4 linked regions of the Saccharomyces cerevisiae S288C genome follow. The protein of the gene in region 4 binds, or shares a complex with, the protein of the main gene of each other region. Each region holds a gene or a part of one and is shown on either strand. Other genes may lie near its edges. The genes, in order: MRPL9, MRPL3, MRPL16 and IMG1.

Evidence for each region.
Region 1: IMG1 (region 4) and MRPL9 share a complex: the UniProt entries of both Saccharomyces cerevisiae proteins name them as parts of the mitochondrial large ribosomal subunit.
Region 2: IMG1 (region 4) and MRPL3 share a complex: the UniProt entries of both Saccharomyces cerevisiae proteins name them as parts of the mitochondrial large ribosomal subunit.
Region 3: IMG1 (region 4) and MRPL16 share a complex: the UniProt entries of both Saccharomyces cerevisiae proteins name them as parts of the mitochondrial large ribosomal subunit.

What each region holds. Positions count from the first base shown.
Region 1 is NC_001139.9:934,738-940,274, forward strand, and holds MRPL9 (mitochondrial 54S ribosomal protein uL3m MRPL9), read right to left. Parts: upstream 2,147-5,537; coding exon 1,337-2,146; downstream 1-1,336. Other genes in the region: exportin CRM1, read left to right, coding at 1-1,058; TOS2 (Tos2p), read right to left, coding at 2,387-4,255; PET54 (Pet54p), read left to right, coding at 5,186-5,537. UniProt on the Saccharomyces cerevisiae protein: Component of the mitochondrial ribosome (mitoribosome), a dedicated translation machinery responsible for the synthesis of mitochondrial genome-encoded proteins, including at least some of the essential transmembrane subunits of the mitochondrial respiratory chain.
Region 2 is NC_001145.3:319,929-325,947, forward strand, and holds MRPL3 (mitochondrial 54S ribosomal protein mL44 MRPL3), read left to right. Parts: upstream 1-1,946; coding exon 1,947-3,119; downstream 3,120-6,019. Other genes in the region: MSS1 (Mss1p), read right to left, coding at 1-1,089; CSI1 (Csi1p), read left to right, coding at 3,372-4,259; PEX12 (ubiquitin-protein ligase peroxin 12), read right to left, coding at 4,308-5,507; YMR027W (putative methyltransferase), read left to right, coding at 5,949-6,019. UniProt on the Saccharomyces cerevisiae protein: Component of the mitochondrial ribosome (mitoribosome), a dedicated translation machinery responsible for the synthesis of mitochondrial genome-encoded proteins, including at least some of the essential transmembrane subunits of the mitochondrial respiratory chain.
Region 3 is NC_001134.8:142,640-148,134, forward strand, and holds MRPL16 (mitochondrial 54S ribosomal protein uL16m MRPL16), read left to right. Parts: upstream 1-3,547; coding exon 3,548-4,246; downstream 4,247-5,495. Other genes in the region: ERD2 (Erd2p), read right to left, coding at 1-110, 208-229; MIN6 (Min6p), read left to right, coding at 754-933; CTP synthase URA7, read right to left, coding at 1,350-3,089; APL3 (Apl3p), read left to right, coding at 4,570-5,495. UniProt on the Saccharomyces cerevisiae protein: Component of the mitochondrial ribosome (mitoribosome), a dedicated translation machinery responsible for the synthesis of mitochondrial genome-encoded proteins, including at least some of the essential transmembrane subunits of the mitochondrial respiratory chain.
Region 4 is NC_001135.5:208,033-213,229, forward strand, and holds IMG1 (mitochondrial 54S ribosomal protein bL19m IMG1), read right to left. Parts: upstream 2,392-5,197; coding exon 1,882-2,391; downstream 1-1,881. Other genes in the region: RRT12 (Rrt12p), read right to left, coding at 103-1,578; BUD23 (18S rRNA (guanine1575-N7)-methyltransferase), read right to left, coding at 2,686-3,513; ARE1 (sterol acyltransferase), read left to right, coding at 3,897-5,197. UniProt on the Saccharomyces cerevisiae protein: Component of the mitochondrial ribosome (mitoribosome), a dedicated translation machinery responsible for the synthesis of mitochondrial genome-encoded proteins, including at least some of the essential transmembrane subunits of the mitochondrial respiratory chain.

The sequences.
Region 1 (5,537 bases), on a different chromosome or scaffold from region 4:
GAGCTGTTTCTTCGATGATTTCTGCTCAAGTTGCCGCAGAAGGTCTAATTGCTACGAAGACACCAAAGGTTCGTGGTTTGAGAACCATCAAAAAAGAGATTCTGAAGCTTGTTGAGACCTATATATCCAAGGCGAGAAATTTGGATGATGTCGTTAAAGTGTTAGTTGAGCCATTATTGAACGCTGTACTTGAAGACTATATGAACAACGTTCCTGATGCAAGGGACGCCGAAGTGCTAAATTGTATGACAACAGTAGTAGAAAAGGTTGGTCATATGATCCCACAAGGTGTTATTTTAATTTTACAGAGTGTATTTGAATGCACTTTGGACATGATTAACAAAGACTTCACAGAATATCCAGAGCATCGTGTAGAATTTTACAAGTTATTGAAGGTCATCAATGAGAAATCATTTGCTGCATTTTTGGAACTACCTCCGGCTGCCTTTAAATTGTTTGTTGACGCTATTTGTTGGGCGTTCAAACATAACAATAGAGATGTCGAAGTTAATGGTCTACAGATTGCATTAGACCTAGTGAAAAACATTGAAAGAATGGGAAATGTCCCATTTGCAAATGAGTTCCACAAGAATTATTTTTTCATTTTTGTCAGTGAAACGTTTTTTGTTTTAACCGATTCCGACCACAAATCCGGTTTTTCTAAGCAAGCTTTGTTACTAATGAAGTTGATTTCTTTGGTTTATGATAACAAGATTTCGGTACCATTATATCAAGAAGCTGAGGTACCACAAGGAACTTCAAATCAAGTCTACTTAAGCCAATATTTGGCTAATATGTTAAGTAATGCATTCCCCCATTTAACATCCGAACAAATCGCAAGTTTTCTCTCTGCATTAACTAAACAATACAAAGACTTAGTGGTCTTCAAAGGCACTTTGAGGGACTTTTTGGTGCAAATCAAAGAAGTCGGAGGTGATCCAACAGATTATTTGTTTGCTGAAGATAAAGAGAATGCATTAATGGAACAGAATAGACTAGAGAGGGAAAAAGCTGCCAAGATTGGTGGGTTATTAAAACCTTCCGAACTTGATGATTAGAGGCGGTGGCGTATCATTCTTTAAATTTCCAATATTTTTTCCCTTTTATTAACTAGTCTCTAATTTATAACCACGGGGTTTTCATTTCTTTTTCACTTCATATTGTATGTAAATTGGTTCTTCAAAGTTCCAATACTCTAATATAGTACTAAATACTATTTAGCCAACTTCATGGAAAAGTAAAGAATATTATTTGAAGATTCTTAAGTGATTACCCATTTTATTGTTATTATTGATGTATGTACATGATTGTAGTAAAATACTTATACGCCTTATGCTCAAGTTTTTTTGATTGCATCTTGAATTTTAACGAAACTGTTTTTGGGCCCAGCCACAGAGCCTTTAACCCAAATAACATTATTTTCATCGTCGACTTTCAAAACTTTAACATTTTGGATAGTAACATGCTCGTTTCCCATATGACCAGGCATCTTTCTTCCTGGCAGTACCCTACCTGGGTCTTGGTTTTGACCATAAGAACCACCGTGTCTATGCATAATAGATGTACCATGAGATGCTCTCAAACCCTTGAATCCATACCTTTTCATCACACCAGTAAAACCTTTGCCTTTGCTGACTGATCTGACGTCAACATATTGGCCTTCTTTGAAAAAAGAGGGTTTCAATAATGTGCCAGGTGGTATTAATCCCTTTTCATCTTTAACTCGGAATTCGGCCACATGCTCTTTTGGGTTAACAACTTTAGAAGCGAAATGACCAAGCATTTGTCTGCTAACTTTAGACAAATGCCTTGATCCGTACCCTACTTGACACGCGAAGTACCCATTGACCTCCGAAGTTCTATGCATTATTACTTCAACATTATTAACTTCTAATATAGTAGCGGCGCTTCTTTCACCAGTAGATTTATCAAAATAAGGCATCATTCCCTTCTTACGAGTAATTAAACCGCATCTTTTTGGTAGCCATTTTCTCGCATTTGCCAGTTCAGGTGAGTGATTAATCGCTGGAGCCTCGGTTGTTATACTGTTAGCAATACTAGGAGCCACTAGAAAAGGCCGAGTAGAAGAATATCTAACATGAAGTTTTGATATGCTAAATATTGATCCCTGTAGGAACTTCGACATGGCTATATTTGTTCTCTCTTGCTTTCAAAGAGTTGCCCTTTCTCGTCCCAGTTGTCAATTTATCGTCCATATATTTTTCAATAAAGTTCGTTTGACAAGGGATTACCCGAAAACAAATATCTCGCGACTGTAATAGGAGAAATGGCATTAGCATTTCAATTAAGGAAAGAAGAGGATCATCGAGAAACGAATTTATGGTGCTTATTTACTGTTACAACATTTCATGATTTTGAATTTTATTTATACATGTACATTCTCGTACGGTGTTATTTCGTAATTATGGGATGTGCCCAGTTGCTTCCTTAAGTCTTCCGTAGAAGCTTTAAAAGGTAAGATTTCCCCCACACTAGGAGGCTGCAAGATGTCAGTGTCATCCAATAACCCACTAACACGGAAATTTATTGCATTTGACAACGTTGACGGCGGTTGTGATAAAGAAGATGATGTTGTAGTGGATGAGTTACCAGGGAGATATTGGGCCTTTATTAAATTTCTTAAAGATCCTGCAGGCTTATAGCGAGGTTTCATAGAAAGTTCTGATGGGTTGGTCATAACAACACTTTGTCTAAGCTGATATGGAAGGGGCGTACAAAATTGCTTTGTCAAAGATGTTGACGGTATTTTCGTAGGCGAACTGTAAAACATTTCAGGATGATCCATTGGATTCAACGCTGTCCCATTAAGCCTAGCTGTAGGTACATGTTTTAGTGTTTTTGGAGGTTTAGGCCTTCCTTTGAATGACGTCAAGGAATGCGAAGAGGTGGAATAAATGAATTGGGTAGGCGTGGGCAAATCTCCGATGTTCTCATAATTTTGAGGATGTTCTAACGGGAGGGGATAATTATAGTAGTAATTGTCATCATTGCTCTGGTTGCAGTGATCTATAAAATATGTAGAATATTGCTGAGCAGAAGTAAGATTTGACTGACCCGAACCCTCCGAAAGGGCCCGTACGGGAGCCTTTGCAGAGTGAATATGGTCCTTAGCGACCGTGTCAGAATATATTGATGAGGTAATTCTCGTTGAAAGACCATTCGGTGGTGGGAATGTAAGAGATAGAGACGATTCGGGAATCACTTTTTCTCTGGTTGCTACTTCTGAATATACTGACGATGCAATGTTTTTATTCTCTTGTGGTGCCGGCACTTGCAGATAATCAGTTGCATCTTCATATTCCTCATTGGCGCTGGAACTGGAATCAATTTCTTGGACAGTTGTACTTCCGAAGTGACTCTGTTCAATTAATGTAGTATCATTTGGATTGTCTTGAGAGCTCATATTTACACTTTTTCTTGTAGCGATGTTTAATTTAGAGTCACGCCGTATCGAAGAAGTTACAGAGGATCGTATCGTGCTATTACTTTTCTCAAAATAAATGTTATAAATGCTTCTTATTCTGTCAATATTTTCTTCCTCCTCTCTCGAACACTGAGGCTCGAGCCCGCTACGACTCGTATAATTCGATTTAAGTCGATTATCGTTGTTATGGCTGGACTTTTCATTTACATCAGGATTTGACGTACTATCACATCTTTGATCACAGTCTTGCCCAGTATTTGAGTGTTGTGGTGAAACAATCAGCTCAGAATTCTCTAACGATTCGAAAGAAATCTTATTCGAAAGGTCAATGTGCTTGGAGGGGACCGATAACTTGCTGTTATTCTGCGAAGCCAGTGAAGCAATATTATAAGCGGAGGGTGCATGCTCATTGATACGCCTCACATAATCTTTGAAAGATTGTGAGTTTTCGATTGACGGTTGCAAAAAATCGTCATAACCACCATAAATAAACCTCTTTTCTGTGGCATTGCTGTCTGAGTTTGCAGAATTCATAGAAGAATCCATCTTCGGTAAATAGTATAAATCGCCCTCAAAATTTGGGTCAAAATCCTGCATAGAAGGTTCTTTTTTGCATCTCCTATATACTACTATTAAAACGACGGATAGTACTATAATAATAGCACCAATGGGAACAGCAACGGCCACTGCAACAGTGACGTTAGATGAATCGGTTCTTTTCTGAAGAAATGTCAGTGATACGCGAGATTTGTCTGGTATAGCCTCTCTTTTTTGGCAAGAATTTTCTTTATAGCGGTAGTGACTAAACATGGACGCTTTATAGCATCTAAAGTAGGGGAAGCACTATTTCTCACTTGCAGTTACTATGAAGTATATTTCGATCGCACAAGTTGCTTTACTATGCTATTGCAGCCTAAGATAAAGGCAACAACCGATGAAACAAGAGTAAAGGGTATACTCTTTTATGCAAATGCTCCTTTACGCGACTGGTCATTATTGAACATCGAACACTTTCGAATAGTTTAGTCTCAAATGTATCGAACGCGAAACTTTAAAAGCGCATTCTTGTTCTTTTTTCGCGACTTGCTCCTGTGATCGTCTTATTTCTGCTCCATATTATCTATTCTTTACTTAAAGCTTCCTAAAAATGCAGTCAGGATAAAAGCAAATGCTTCAATGGAGTTAATATATATACCGAAACAAGAAAATGAGTTCTATATATTTGTTCCATGGACTCATGAATCAAATTTGTAGAAAAATAAAATAGAAAAGATAAACGCCCTCCTTACTCATTGAGAAAAAGGGCAGAAAAGTTCCAAAAAATATGGCAAGCCCACAGTAACGGACAGCTTTACCTGTTTCTATGGAGACAACACCCGGATGGTTCTGGTAAAAGGCAAGAACCATGTTCGTTATAAGTTCTATAGGCAATAAAAGGCCCACAGTTCTTGATGTTGACCTCCCTCCGCCATTGATCTGTAAAGCTGCTTGCAGGTTTTAAAACAAAAAGAAAGAAAAGTATTTTAAAATATATAGGAGGAAAGAAACATTTAACAAAAAGTCTTACTATGCGCTTTTTATACTGAGCACTCCGTTTCTACAAAATTTTCAATTTTTTTTTTCATATTCGTTAATCGTGATGAGAATACTAACACCACGAACTCAAATAGGAAGTTAACAATTTAGGGTAGGAGTGCCAGACTCTACCCATTATCCCTTTGTCATCGATGTAAAGCAGATATGAAGGCTTCTAGTAAAGCTATTAAATTAGTACTGGACCATCTGAAGTCCACGGGAAGAGTTCTTGGCTCCGTAGAGTCAGGAAATTCAGCAACAATAAGTGAGAAAACGGCATCTGTTAATAAGCAGCAGCAGTTGCAGGAAAAGAAACCTTCTGTCCTACAATATAGAAGCTACAATCCATATTTAGTTAAGGAGGATTTCCTGTCAATTCTGCCAGAAAATTTGTATAAAAAGAGGGGACAATTTACAAATGAGCTTGACTTTCAGTTGATGAAAGTCAGGGACCCTAAATACTTCCAGTTCAAGGATCAGTATTACTTGTTTTTTAATGATTATAACTCGCTTACTG
Region 2 (6,019 bases), on a different chromosome or scaffold from region 4:
ATCTACAATGAATAAACATAAGTCGCTCTGTACACTTTTCTTCTTTGCTCTATCTATACCCAGCATTTCTATCTTGTCAGAACTCTTTTCTCTTATACCTGCCGTATCACAGATAATAACCTTATAGCCATTCACGTTTATCATTGCATCAATAGAATCCCTAGTAGTGCCAGGTATATCACTGACAATTGATATATCATCGTTAGTCAAGCTGTTAACTAATGATGACTTACCGACATTGGGAGCACCAAGTAATACCAGCTTTATTCCATTTTGCAGTATGGTAGACTTTTCGACTTTTTGCATGAAAGTAACGATTTGGTCTCGCAGACATATGATGTTCTTTTCTACATTATGGAAAATCTCATCCGTATTCTGAATTTCTTGGCTATTATCGTCGGCAAAATCTATTATAGCAGTCAACTGTGCCATATTCTCGATAATGGTTTCCCTCCAGTTCTCAAATAGGATTTTGTTATCCCCATTGAAACTTGACAAGGCAGATCTCCTTTGAGATTCTGTTTCCGAATCAATAAGATCTTTGATACCTTCAAGTTGGGTAAGGTCAAACTTTCCATTTTGAAACGCCCTCCTGGAGAAGTCGCCAGGCAAGGCAAATCTTATATCTTTACCACTGCTTCTATCGTGTAACGAGCCGATAGCTTTCAGTATACTATTAACTACGGCTTTCCCGCCGTGAACGTGCAGCTCTAACACATCCTCACCAGTAAATGAATAAGGAGCTTGGAAATATAGCAACAACGATGTGTCTAATAATATTTTACTTTCCTTTTGATCATGAGGTTTCACACTACAAGAGGACGGCGAATAAATGTTCCTCAAAATAGCCTTCCTGATCGGCGGAACTGTACTTGAATCAACTAGTCGATTGTAAATGTACTTAGCATGGGTACCAGATATTCTTATGATTGCTATCGCAGAGGTTTGATTTGCTGGTGTAGATAATGCATATATGGTTGGTTGCTGGAAGGTATAAGGCTTTGCAAGTCCGGAGTACCTCTTTAACGACCTTCTTACGAGAAAGGATCTCGAAATAAGCCGTGATTGTAAGAAAGATGCACTATTCATAAATAGAATACTTATTAACCATATATAACATTCTCTAAGTAGATAGCAGTCGTATGGAATATTGCTGTATCTTCATGTAACCTCGTAAAAGACGTTATATATGGGTTAGTTAGCCAAAAAAATAAAAAATGGACGAGTCCGGAATCGAACCGGAGACCTCTCCCATGCTAAGGGAGCGCGCTACCGACTACGCCACACGCCCGATTTGTATTGAAGACTTTGAAGAAGTATAGAAAACATAAATGTAGGATACATTTTTAAACTTTTATTAATGAAACCAATTTGAAGACATGTGGCAACCCGTGTTACTCATATATATATATATATATATATACAACTATCAGAAGATTATCAATCTAATAGATCTTTAACGCCGCCTCAGTACTTTCTGAACTGCAAGTAGAATATTTTTTTCTGGAATCGGCACATTCACATTCAGACGTATACGATGTCAGCACTTAGATTGCTACTATAGCAACTCATTTATTATTAATCCCCATTCGTTCCGATATGGATGGCATATTATTACCTTTAAGAAAGGTGGAGTTCCAAAGATTCATCAATTTTACTGTTTATAGAAAACGTTACGGAAAGATGAAAAGTAAACACCAAGGTCTCTTATGCCTTGACATAAAGAATACGGAATAGAATGATTGTAGACGCAACAAGATGAATAATTAATGGCAAATTATTATCCTATTAGATATAAATTACAGTCGCTTTAATGCGTGATTATAGAAAAGGTCCTTACAATATGCAGCCGGGTAAAGAGTGAAGTTTCCCGCCTCTGAAAAAGAGCAATACTAAAATAATCTGAAAAGAATTGGTGAAAAGAAAGCTGTAGTTATATATACAGAATGGGCATAGTTTTGAAAAGAGCAATAGCAGCAGGTATGAAACCTTTTCCAAACAGTACGTGGCATTGGAGCCGAACCATAAGACCTTTCTCACAGCATTTGTCTAGCACATGCTTTCTGCAGCAATCCTCGAGATTTACTTCAAAACGATACCTACACCTTTCAACATTAACACAACAAGAAAAGCGCTTCCTACCCGAATCTGAACTTGCTAAATATAAGGAATACTACCAGGGTTTGAAGAGCACTGTAAATGAAATACCTGAATCAGTGGCCTCTAAGTCACCTTCGTTAAGAACGCTTCATAAGAGATTACAATTACCTAATGAGTTGACCTATTCAACACTTTCCAGATGCTTAACGTGTCCCTCTGCAAAACTACCCGACAAGATAAATAATCCTACAAAAGGTGCAGCTTTCGTTAATACTGTACCTACTAATAAATACTTGGACAACCACGGTTTAAACATCATGGGAAAGAACTTGCTCTCTTACCACGTTACAAAATCCATTATACAGAAATATCCGAGACTACCCACTGTGGTTTTGAATGCTGCGGTTAACGCATATATATCAGAGGCGGTACTGGCGCACATTGCTAAATACTGGGGTATTGAAGTAGAAACTACGTCTGTTTTATCACGCTATTTGAAAATGGAACCATTCGAATTCACTTTGGGAAGACTCAAATTCTTTAATAATTCATTGAACTCTAAGGACGGTATTGAGCTAATCACCGGAAAGAACTTTTCAGAAACAAGCGCTCTTGCAATGAGCGTGAGGAGTATAATAGCTGCCATCTGGGCAGTAACGGAGCAAAAAGATTCTCAAGCTGTTTACAGATTTATTGATGATCATATAATGAGCAGGAAATTGGATATCACGAAAATGTTCCAGTTTGAACAACCTACAAGAGAATTGGCTATGCTATGTCGTAGAGAGGGGCTGGAGAAACCTGTATCGAAACTGGTCGCTGAGTCTGGTAGACTATCGAAATCACCTGTCTTTATTGTGCATGTATTTTCAGGCGAAGAGACATTAGGTGAAGGTTATGGTTCCTCATTAAAGGAGGCAAAAGCAAGAGCCGCTACTGATGCTTTGATGAAATGGTATTGCTACGAGCCTCTTGCTCAACAGGAACCAGTTATTGATCCTGGCACTGTTGTTGTTTAGTTCTGTGTTTGCCATTTTGTAGATAGAGAACTCCTTAACCAGAATACATTCTTGTACATATATATATACACGTTGGTACGATATGCGTTTACTTTATGTGTACTAAAATATATAAAAGTGAACAGAAGCATGTTCCTTGTTTACTACTATATCTTACCAGGAAACAGACAAAAAAAAAAAAGACTTGCTATATTTAAAGAGAACGCACATTTGTGAGGGGATAATAACACAAAGCAAAGTAATATAGGGTAAATGGACCTCCTAAAATTCAGTTCTCTAGCTATATCAGAAATTAACTTCCTGCACGAGTCATCGTTTGACTCGATAGACCACTCTTGGTTTTTATTGATAGGTTGCAAATTGGATCAAGATGATGAAATTTACATCCCAATAAATGGTAATGAAGCAGAGTCTCAATGGTATATTGAAAAAGTTATACGAATCCCGATGCAGGAAAATGATAAAATAAATCAAGAACGCCTAGAAAGGAGAATTAACCTAACAAAAGTGACTCAAAAGGACATTTGTATACTGGGTATTCTTGATTTATGTCAGTTAGAAGAGGACGAAAATATCACTAATAAAGTGACGGAGAAAGTGCTCACCCAATTGACCGCCTTGGCATTGAAATATCTGATAAAATATAACGTGTTTCGCCAACATACCTCCTTCCAAGAAGCTGTCAATAGTTTAAAGGGTTATAAAATTGAAAATAGTGTACAGATAGGCGCGGAAATTATCCTTGATTTTCTACAAGATAAAGTGCAAATTAAGGATGTAAATGACAGATACCAAATTCCCACACCTAATAATACCGTAGACCCAGGTTTTGATGAGTTTCAATTAATTGACATGAAGGATAAAGAAATCAATATTCAAAAATATAATAATAATACCATAAGAAAATTACTCGAGAAGATTAATCGAATGATAATATTCTTGAAAAATTATGATGCCACTGACAAGCCTTTCTCTTCCACGCAAGATGTAATACTTCGAAAAATATCAATGCTTGTAACACAACTGCAAAGAGGTGGAACAAGTGACATGAATTACCTGCTGGATAACAAAATTAATGAAATAAAATTATTAGAAATTTCGTGTAAACAATGGGAAATTTCAAATATGTTAAAAAAATAACTAGAATATATATATTACACAGAATTATTTTCTTCACTTCCTCCGTCATCAGATTAGTAGCTTCCTAATACCTGTCACAACTTCCCATTTATTCGTGTGTTTGTTGTATGTACAACCCAGCAGCTTTTTATTGGTAACGGGACAATGGCCTTCATTATTAACCAAATAGCTTATGGCACACGGGTAGCATGCCACGTATCCTGTTTCCAATACACAGGGGTTTTGTACAGTTTTTTCGCAAACGGGACAGGCCTCAGAAACTCCCTCTTTATCTTCCGTTTTGTCACTATGTGAGGAGAAAGGCGGCCTTGGAATATCTTCATCCAAGTCATTGACCCTTTTCTGCAATTTAGTAGTCATGTCTTGTGTGGTCCACCATTGGTACACTCTTAGGACAAATATAAAAGTGGGGAAGAATTGCGAACCCATAAATGTTAAAAATCTGGGTATAATCGATAATTGTCCTTGCATTAGCGCGAAAATTGACGATATATTTGTTTTCCTTAGCCTATTATCCATCCCTTTCGTCTCTTTGAGACCAGAGAGTTCTGACGATAGTGGTCTTACCGTTGTGTACTCTATCTTGAATAAGTATTGCAACAAGGAAACCGACCCTGTTCTTTTAGTTAAAAATAATAATTTAACGAGTAAATTGGATAACGCTAATAATTTCTTAATAAATGGATAAATTCTTAGAAACGCTCTCTTGGGCCATTTATTTTCAGTTTCATCGCTGCTGAATATATTATTCATTGATATTTTCTCTAATATTTCATCCAACTTCGCTGTGATATAGGGGAGAATAATTTTTTCCAAAAAAATAACACTCTTTTGCTGTTGATTCAGCTGCAAACCTTGGGGCCATTCACTCTGGCCCTTTGGATTTAAACATTGTGTTAAGGCAAGATTTCTGTCCCTCGAACTAAATAGTTGCAATCCATAAAACCGATCAATAAACGTAGAATTGTATGTCTTTAGATGATACCATTCAACAAACCCTTTTATCGCTTGAAACCACTCAAAAAAGTACTTGTTCAGCCGCAAAGTATACCTGTTAGGGAAGTTCGCCACTAAATGATTTGCCAGTAGATAACGGATGGATGCGGGCAGTAACGAATCGATTTCTTGTGATGACATTATCTCAAAGATAGTCGGATACAATGGTTCTAATCCCACCCCATTTCGACCGCTTGTTGAAGACCCTCGACTAGATTGTCCTGCAGACGGTAGGTTTGAATAAAAGCTCATCACTTGACGACTACCTTCCTTTCCTTTGCTTTATTTTCCCTGCTTATTCCCTTGCTTCTTCTGGAGCCTTCATGCAAAACCGTTTCTCTACCTAATGTGATTCTGCGGTAAGCATTGCTCTTAAGCATCTGAATGAGACGAAAGGATGACTCCACACTAAATTGTACCTCTCTTCTCCAGTGACTGAATTGGAGGTTACCATTGCCAGTGACGGTAATCGTCCACATCGATGATTTCTTAGTATAACCCACACACCTCTCAGACATAGAGGCCCCAGGTGCAACGTGATAGTATAACTGCCCGGAAGTAGAAATACAACTATTCCCTTCATATTAAAAGAATAAAACTTCATTTGAACTCTTTAAAATTTAGTGGTTCATTGTGGTCCTTGTGTAAACGGAAAAAAAGGATATTACGGTAGTGGGTAGTACATAACAAGAGATGACTATCCCTGGAAGATTTATGACAATTGATAAGGGCACTTTTGGTGAATACACTGCTAGCACCCGTTG
Region 3 (5,495 bases), on a different chromosome or scaffold from region 4:
GAAAACCAAAGCGTACAACGTTTGGGTCTTGAAAGAAATACCTTCAATGTACCTTGTGGTCTTGATATTATGAATCAGGATCAGTATACTGGTTAGATGTGATAAATCACCTGTCTTGATGGTCGGGAAAAAGCCCTTTCTCTGTTAGTAAGATTGGGTTCGATCTACGGCGGGAAAAGCCTCATGAAACTCCAAATAGTAACATACCTAAGATTCTAAACGGATTCATTGCTTACTGATTATGCCTCAACTTGCGCGTATATCTCACTCTTGAACAAGTGCCCTCAGCAAATTCATCTGCCTCGAAATTTGAACTTATTTTTAACGTGTTCAATATTTAGCTAAAACGTCGTTTTCAGTCCGGGTACCGCAGATAAGCCATCCCGGATCTTTAAAGGAAAACGAGGAATTCAGTGGTGCAGACTACACTTTAATCTCAATTGACCAAAGTGAGTCCTCAAGTAAGACGAATATTATTTTTCTTTCACGACTCAATTGAATTCCTAATAACACTTTTGTTTGCTGTATTAGCTTTTAGCTTTGAGAGCGATGAAGCAAGAGAGAAAAATAAGGGTAGAAAAAAAAATTAGAAATTGAGGAGGGGAAGGTATTCTAACCTGGTGAATTCCCAGATACATAAGTATAAGAATTTCTCGGCAGAGATTATATACAATAAAGAATAAGGTTCAGTTGGACGATTGCGATAGTAGCGTGAATAACAATTTACTTTAATCAATCGTTAGGATACTTCTAATGGGCTTTTTTAACAATAATCCGGTAATTGAATTCTTCCACAGAATAACGAGAAAACCCAGTACCATTGCGATGTGGGTGTTTGCTGGTCTGATTTGTTCAAGTACATTTTATTTAATGTTCATGTCATCACCTACAATCGACTTCAACTCGAAGAGTAAGAAAAAAAATGATAAATAATCTCCCTGTTCAGTACTTTGGTAAAAGCACGCCATGGAAAATTATTTAGAACTTCCTTATACAAAACTAAATATTTGAGCATATTCTATATTCATACATAGATACATTCTTTGAATTTCAAGACTCTTATTTCTCATTTTGAAAGCCAAGATTGGAGGAAAAATCGTAAATTTTTATCCAGTCAGTAACAACTGTTGGCCAGTCGAAAACTCTATCGAAACAGCTTCTATATGTCAGATAAGATAGATTTATTAAATTAAATATATTCAGGAGAGGAAAGACAACATGAACGAAAAAAAAAAAACAGTGTAGAGAAGCACTACAAATATTTTCTCTTCCAAAAAATATAATATACATAAAAAAATTAGAAATTTATCTTTGTTAATGCAGTAGACTTTTAATTCTAAAATTTTGATTTAAAAGTTGAATTTGTTTTCGCCGGCCTCAAGATCGTACTTACCTTCAATGACATCTTGAAGGATACCAGCGGAAGCAGCAACTAAACCCAAAAATGGTTTGGATGGATCTAAGACCTTTGATGTGTATTCTGGGTGATATTGAGTAGCAATATAGTATGGGTGATTCTTTAATTCCAAAATCTCACAACGCTTTCCAGTGTCGTCCTTACCTACAAAGATCAACCCGTTGTTTTCCAATTCATCAACCATCTTTGGATTGATTTCGTAACGGTGACGGTGTCTTTCATGGACTTCGGAGACGTCACCGTATAACTTCTTGATTTGACTCCATTCAGTTTCATTTTGGAAAAATGTTGGTCTCAAACCTAATCTCATTGAGCCCCCCATGGTTTCCTTGTCAATTTCAGGCATGAAAACGACAACGTGATTTTTTTCATCAATGTCTGGATAAAATTCTGCCGAATGACTGTCTTTTCTTCCCAACACACTACGTGTAAATTCAATGGTGGCAATTTGTAAACCCAGGCAAACCCCTAAGAATGGAATGTGATTTTCACGAGCCCATCTAGCAGCCAAAACCATACCTTCAGTACCTCTAACACCAAAACCACCGGGGATTAAGATACCGTCTGCGGTACTGACCATGTTCCATGCTTCATGAAATTTAGTTTTGTTGCTTTCTTGTGCTTCAGGTTCCAAATCAGTAGCTTCCACCCATTTAATGTCTAACTTACGACGACACTTCATGGATGAATGTTCCAATGCTTTTATCACTGATAGATAAGAATCTTTCAAGTTGGTGTATTTCCCAACCAAAGCAATCTTCACTGTTTCCATGGATTCATCGAAGTTACCTGTTGTGGCCTTCCATTTAGACAATAATTCCAGGCCTCTTTGTTTTTCTTCTTCTGTAAGTGATATTTCATCTAACTTTAATCTGGCGTGTAAGTAATCAATCATCTTTTGTTCCAGTAGCAACAATGGGACGTGATAAGTAGAATTAACATCGTGAACGTTAACCACCTGTTCAGGCCCCACATGACAAAACATGGCAATCTTATCGATTGTTGGTTTATCCAAAGTTTCACTACATCTACAGGCGATCATATCTGGAACTAAACCAAGAGACCTCAAACCTTTGATGGCAGCTTGAGTTGGCTTAGTTTTTTGTTCACCGTGGATGACAGGAACTAGAGAAACGTGTATCAAGGCAAAATTTTCCTTTCCAACTTTAAATTGGAATTGTCTTAGTGCCTCCACAAAAGGAGCACTTTCAATGTCACCAACTGTCCCACCCAATTCAATGATACAAACATCTGGTTCCATACCGGTGTCATCTACAGGAATTTTGGCCACGCGCTCAATCCAATCTTGGATAGCGTTGGTCAAATGAGGGACAATTTGCACGGTTTTGCCTAAATAGTCACCTTTTCTTTCCTTAGCAATAACGTGCGAGTATATTTTACCAGTAGTAATGTTATGATCTTTAGTCAAAGTAACTCCAAGGTATCTCTCGTAGTTACCCAAGTCCAAATCTGTTTCACCACCGTCGTCAAGCACGAAACATTCACCATGTTCCAAAGGAGACATAGTACCTGCATCAATGTTCATATAAGGGTCAATTTTAATTGACGTAACCTTTAAACCGAGGGTTTTCATTAGCATACCAGTTGAAGATGCAAGAACACCTTTACCGATACCCGAAATGACACCACCTGAAACAACAACGTACTTCATTTTCTGTCTATAAGTTTCTTTTGTTCTATTGACCAATTCACTGAGAAACTGCCTGAAACTTTTTCGACCTTAGAATGGCAGAAAAATGGCAAATACTGTAAAATACTTAACATTTAACTAAATTTTATTCTATGCTTTTCCTCTCGATGAGATGAGCTGTGAAAAATTTTGAAAAAAAAAAAAAAAAAAAAAAAAAAAAAAATTTGTTATCACCAATAACGAGAAACCTAACTCTAAAACTTAGGGTCAAAGAACAGAACCCTAGGCTTTGTATCCAGTTGAATCACTAATTACGAAAGAATGCTGGTGGAAATAATAATATCATATTGGTGCTCAAATAACAAGAAGACTTCTTTGGAAGAAATTATTACCAATTAACAGTCCACTTGTAGAGCGTACATATTGCCGGGAAGTTGATTACCTTTCACCAGAGGTACAGAGGAATAGAATTTTGCAACATGTTCCCCTATTTAACAAGAATGAATTTATCCATAAAGATGGGAGGGCTAACTTTAAAAGAAAGTTCCCCCAATGCTTTTTTAAATAACACCACTATTGCTAGGAGATTCAAGCATGAATATGCCCCACGTTTCAAAATCGTACAGAAAAAGCAAAAAGGTAGAGTGCCAGTTCGTACAGGTGGTTCAATAAAGGGATCCACTTTGCAATTTGGTAAGTACGGATTACGACTGAAAAGCGAAGGTATTAGGATATCCGCGCAACAGCTGAAGGAAGCAGATAACGCAATTATGAGATATGTCAGGCCTTTAAACAATGGTCATTTGTGGAGGCGTTTGTGTACAAACGTTGCTGTATGTATCAAGGGTAACGAAACAAGAATGGGTAAAGGTAAAGGTGGGTTTGACCACTGGATGGTGAGGGTACCCACAGGGAAGATCCTTTTCGAAATAAATGGTGATGATTTGCATGAAAAAGTCGCACGGGAAGCCTTCAGAAAAGCAGGCACCAAGTTACCTGGGGTATATGAATTTGTATCCTTGGATTCTCTGGTTAGAGTTGGATTACATAGTTTCAAAAATCCTAAAGACGACCCAGTGAAGAATTTTTACGATGAAAATGCAAAGAAGCCATCAAAGAAGTATTTGAATATTTTAAAGTCTCAAGAACCACAGTACAAACTCTTCAGAGGACGTTGAACGGATTGAACACACCATGTATACATGTATATAACTATTGAAAAATATCGATATTCACAATCAAGTAATCTAGCCATGGCTATGAGTTTATTAATTCTAGTATGCACTGTATACTCTCTGCGGAAGAATAGGAGTTTTTCCCCGGAGTGAGCGCTGAAGAAACACATGACGACGTGAAAAAACACTTGTTTGATCCAGCTGAGGTATAAACACTGAGAAATATTTGAGGGTCAAAGAAGCACTAGGAACGTTACAGTTGGAATTTGCTAGTCAATCGAGTTTCCAATTTCGCAACCTTTATTATAGTACTAATCTTATAAGCCATGGATCGCAAAAAAACACTTATAAACTCAAGTGTTTCTAATAATAACAGTACCATCAAGGGCCTACAGTTATTCATTGCAGATCTTCGTTCTGCACAACAAGCACAAGAGCAGGAAAAGAGAATACAATCTGAAATTGTCAAAATTAAACAGCATTTCGATGCTGCAAAGAAAAAACAAGGCAATCACGACAGATTAGGTGGCTATCAAAGAAAGAAGTACGTTGCCAAGCTAGCCTATATATATATTACTTCTAATACGACAAAACTAAATGAAATTTTATTCGGGTTGGAGCAAACGGTAGAGCTGTTGAAGTCCAGCATATTTTCTGAAAAATTCATTGGATATATGACCCTTGAGTTGCTTTATGAACGTAGTGAAGTTGTTGCCAAAGTTAACGATGAGGTGAATTATCAACTGATGAAAGATCTCTCTTCTTCCGATGATAATTTCGTAATGTTGGCGCTGAATTTTGTTGGTGTAGTAGGAGAACTTACGAACCGTCTAGCGTACAACGATGATATCACAACAGGAGTATTCAAGATATTAAGATCACCGACCTCCTCCATTTATCTCAAGAAAAAATCAGCATTGTCATTTCTAGCACTATTGAAAAGTAATCATTCTATACTGACCGAAGATTTACAACGTAAGCAACTATGGATACAAAGGATATTAAGCTTATTGGATGATACGGAAAACTATAGGTTAACTTTAGCTACGATTCCGTTAATAGAATTCATTGCAAAATACATTGATCCCAGTTACTGTACGAGACTATTACCACAGCTAACAGAAATTTTGTACAATTGTGTTGTTGTTGGTACTTCAAGATCTAGTGACAATCAGTTTCCGTTAGAATATACGTTCGCGAATATGCCAAATCCTTGGCTTATCACAAAAGTTGTCTCTTTGTTGAGCATATT
Region 4 (5,197 bases):
AATGAAAAATGAAAAGTACAAGAATACGCAAGAGAAGAGCGAAAAAACTAATGTTGACATGACATTATGCAATAATTTATTTATGAGAGAAAGAGAAAAACACTACAAATTTTTCATAAAATCACGCCTCTTCAATCGAATCTCACCAAGAGGTAGTGTGACATCGTTATTCCAACCCCACAGTTTTGAACCAGATTGAAGATTCTCAGACATAGGAGTTTGTAAAGTGGCATTGTACTCCTCCAGTTCCTTAGCAATTGCCTCTATGTTCAATCGAGGGAACGTTTCGTCGTCATATGGATCGTCCAGTTTATCGACGCCGTTGTAAAGAATCTGGTTTGGCGTAGAAGGCTTGAAAAACAACGTTCTTCTATGGAAAACATTACGCGTGGACAAATACTCAATCTCCTGTGCTATCATTTCAGGCTCAATTCCCTTCGAGAGTAGGATCGCTGCAACTCCGGTGACAATGGGCGTCGACATAGATGTACCTGACAAAATTAAAGTGTCGTTGTAGTTCAGATGAGATAGCGACTCAATTTCCACGCCTGGGGCAAAGATGTTTACACAGGGCCCCCAATTGCTGAACTTGGCAATCGTGTCAATGTGGTCATCAAAGGCCCCTACGGTGATAACGTTTTCTGCAGACGCAGGTGAGGCCCAGTAGGCGTCTAAATTGAAGTTCCCCGCCGCGGCAACAAATACAATACCTTCTTCAATGGCCCCCTCCACTGCCATGTTGATTATGGGGCTCCTGAAACTCCCTAGACTTAGATTGGCCACGCATTTTTTACCCTGTGGGCGACTGACCTTTGTGCAATGTTCCACGATGAACTCCAGACCACTAAGAACGTTACTGGCCTCGCCAGACCCGTCTTTGCCCAAGACTTTGACCTCCACAAGATTGACCCTCTTTGCCGCTCCATACGTTTTGGAACCTACGAGTCCCGCCACGTGCGTTCCGTGGCCATTCTGGTCGCCAAACCCTTCTTTGGTCAAGTCAATCCCCTGGATGACTCTGTCTTCGAATTCCGGATGGTCCGCGAAGATACCCGTATCCATGATATAGGCGTTGACGTCTTGACCTTGATAGTCGTGTTCATAGTAGTAATTGAACCAGCTTTTGTAGCGGTCCTTGTCCCCAACGTCGAATGGGAGTTGGTAGTGGCGGGAAATCCGGGCCAAGTGACGGGGTGCGTCTGGTTGATACGTTATATTTTGCTCTTCCTCGACGTCTTCGTACGAGTATTTGGCGGTAGCGTTAAACGTATAACTCGACTCGGCGCTATTTACACTGTCGCCTTCAAAAGCTTCGAACCTGAAGTTGGGCACAATATCAGCCACCAGTGGGCTTTTCTTCAGCTTGTTCACTAAGTTCTTGGACAGGTTCATGGTCACGCCGCGGAAGGATCCGATGGAGAATTTCTTCTCAATTTTGTTGTCGATGAACTGTCTCCATGACCTGTTGGAATTCGAAGTGAATTGTTGGAATGCTGTGGGATTTTTGAACCTCACCAAATACTCCTCTGCGTATGCGAGGTTGACCAGCAAAGAGATGAGTATGCACTGTGGCTTCATGACCAGTGTTTTTTTGCTGTTTTTCTTGGCGGATGTTAGAGGATGTCTAGCACTTGAGTATACCTCTATATGCTGTGTAAAATAGAAAATAAAAAAGCCAATGAGAACAATATTTTGTGTCGTTTTTTTTATTTTCGCTTCAATTCTCTATACACGTACGTCATCACTACGGGAAACCAAAAAAAAAAAAAAGAAAACAGTACAAAAAGGTTTACTTTACCCATAGTTAGTATACGTAGATTTTATACACGCACTATTTTTCTTATATACAGGAGATGGGTGGCCACAGAACCCGCGCCTAGCCTATTTCTTTCTTCTTAGACCTGCCTCGAGGTCGCCGACATCCAACCTTGTACCTCTGATGTAGTAGTGTTTGTTTCTTTGTCTGCTCGAGACGTGGGGGGTTAGCAAGTCGATTCTCTCGATCAGCGGCGAAAACAATGGCACTCTAATCTCGACGGCCGTCTTGGCTATCTGGTTCCGCAACAGCAACGAGGCGTCTTGCACCAGTTGTTTGCGGTCTATGGAAAGGATGTAGCCAACAAAGGTGTCGTACGAGCACTTGGACGAGTCGTACACAATCCGGACCACGTCGCCTGCCTTCAAGCGGTCCTTGTTCTTTTTACTGATGAGCTTCCTCTTAACGGCCCCGGGATCCAGAGACTCTATTTCTGAGAGGGCCACCTGCTTCATAATCTGCGACGAAGCTATGCGCTGCACAGGTGGGTACACGGGGATGGTTTTTCTCTTGGTGGCGGGGACCATGTAGGACCTTGTCCATGATCCAAGCAATCTGACGTTCCTGCTCCACATCGCTATGGTTCTCTCTCCCTTTCAGCAGCTGCTCAGAGGGAAGACTCGATTCTTCTTCTTCTTCTTTACTGGGAGTTCCAAAGCACCAAAATTGAAAACCAAGAAAAAAAGGAAAATACATCACTACATAAAAGTGCGCGGAGCCATTGACCACTCACATACAGATATAAGTGTATATATACAAGTATACATATACAAGTATACATGTAGAAGGAGACAGAGACAGAGGGAAATGTATAAGTGTGTATTTTTATAGTATACAAAAGAATATGCGTGTGAGGATGTGTGTTTCTTCTAGAACCTGTGTCTTCTTTTCCTCCCGGTGAACTTGGAGTCCTTCGCAACTTTCCTCCCACGTCTTTTCATGAGCTCCTTCTTTCTTAGAATGAAACTCTTGGCAGACTCCTTGTCTTTGCCTCCCTTCAAGCGCTGGCGCAGTTGTTTCTTCAAGTTGACGTTCTCCTCGTCCATGGTCACACCGTCCAAATTCACCTGCTCCTCCCCCTGCGGTGGGGCCCCACTGCTCAACACAAGGTAGTACTTCTTATTCTTTTTAGACTCTGGGTCGTCCACCACAAGCCCGCCACTGAACCCTGCCACCTTGGCAGACTGCAGTATGTCGTCCACCTGGTCGTCGTTTTTCGGGTAGAACTGGGCCACAAATTTCCCTCCCTTCTTCAGTGCAGCATACAATGTGTTGAAAAACCTCATCAACCGCTGTTTAGGATCGTTGTATGAAGTGTCCGCATTGCACAGCCATTGGATCGCACTGATACTAATAGCCGCGTCAAACGAGCCCGCCCGGAACGGTATCCCGGTGCCCATATCCTGCAACATCAAGTCGCCCTCCAGCTCTCTACTAAGACCGGTCGCAAGCATGCTGGGCGATATATCCAAACCACACCACACATGGTCTCCCTCCTGCGTCAAAATCTCCCCAGACAGTCCGGACCCGCACCCGATATCCAGAATGAAACTGCACGGCTGCAGATTCAAAAGCTCCAACGCCCTCAGCGTCATCTTCGCCTGGATATGCTGCACTCTGGTCGAACCCGTGTACTTGTGTGCTTCGCTATCATTATAGAAAATCTCCGGTGGTGCCAACTCCTCAGGACGTGACATTATTTCTTCTCTGATATATTTCCTGTGTTTCCGTACCGCACCTTTTTAGCACTACTTTTTTACTATGCTCTTCTTCTTCTGCTTCTTCTGCTTTTTTCCTCTTTATCACACTATGTATGTGCTGCTCATCTCTTCTTTTTATCGATAAAATTGAAAAATGTGAGATGGTGTAGAGTGAAAAAAAAAAAAAAATCTGGCTTGGCCATCAAATACCCGGCCGTGGTTGGACTCGTTTAGCGAACAATAGCACCCAGCAGACCCTGGCAACATGCGGATGATATAAGAAGGACGAGCGTGGTGGAGGAAAGGGGCGCCATTGGCACACTCACGCAGGTGGTTGTTCAGCACGGCTTGCAGCAAGAGCGCCAAAACAGATTGCAAGAATGACGGAGACTAAGGATTTGTTGCAAGACGAAGAGTTTCTTAAGATCCGCAGACTCAATTCCGCAGAAGCCAACAAACGGCATTCGGTCACGTACGATAACGTGATCCTGCCACAGGAGTCCATGGAGGTTTCGCCACGGTCGTCTACCACGTCGCTGGTGGAGCCAGTGGAGTCGACTGAAGGAGTGGAGTCGACTGAGGCGGAACGTGTGGCAGGGAAGCAGGAGCAGGAGGAGGAGTACCCTGTGGACGCCCACATGCAAAAGTACCTTTCACACCTGAAGAGCAAGTCTCGGTCGAGGTTCCACCGAAAGGATGCTAGCAAGTATGTGTCGTTTTTTGGGGACGTGAGTTTTGATCCTCGCCCCACGCTCCTGGACAGCGCCATCAACGTGCCCTTCCAGACGACTTTCAAAGGTCCGGTGCTGGAGAAACAGCTCAAAAATTTACAGTTGACAAAGACCAAGACCAAGGCCACGGTGAAGACTACGGTGAAGACTACGGAGAAAACGGACAAGGCAGATGCCCCCCCAGGAGAAAAACTGGAGTCGAACTTTTCAGGGATCTACGTGTTCGCATGGATGTTCTTGGGCTGGATAGCCATCAGGTGCTGCACAGATTACTATGCGTCGTACGGCAGTGCATGGAATAAGCTGGAAATCGTGCAGTACATGACAACGGACTTGTTCACGATCGCAATGTTGGACTTGGCAATGTTCCTGTGCACTTTCTTCGTGGTTTTCGTGCACTGGCTGGTGAAAAAGCGGATCATCAACTGGAAGTGGACTGGGTTCGTTGCAGTGAGCATCTTCGAGTTGGCTTTCATCCCCGTGACGTTCCCCATTTACGTCTACTACTTTGATTTCAACTGGGTCACGAGAATCTTCCTGTTCCTGCACTCCGTGGTGTTTGTTATGAAGAGCCACTCGTTTGCCTTTTACAACGGGTATCTTTGGGACATAAAGCAGGAACTCGAGTACTCTTCCAAACAGTTGCAAAAATACAAGGAATCTTTGTCCCCAGAGACCCGCGAGATTCTGCAAAAAAGTTGCGACTTTTGCCTTTTCGAATTGAACTACCAGACCAAGGATAACGACTTCCCCAACAACATCAGTTGCAGCAATTTCTTCATGTTCTGTTTGTTCCCCGTCCTCGTGTACCAGATCAACTACCCAAGAACGTCGCGCATCAGATGGAGGTATGTGTTGGAGAAGGTGTGCGCCATCATTGGCACCATCTTCCTCATGATGGTCACGGCACAGTTCTTCATGCACCCGGTGGCCATGCGCTGTATCCAGTT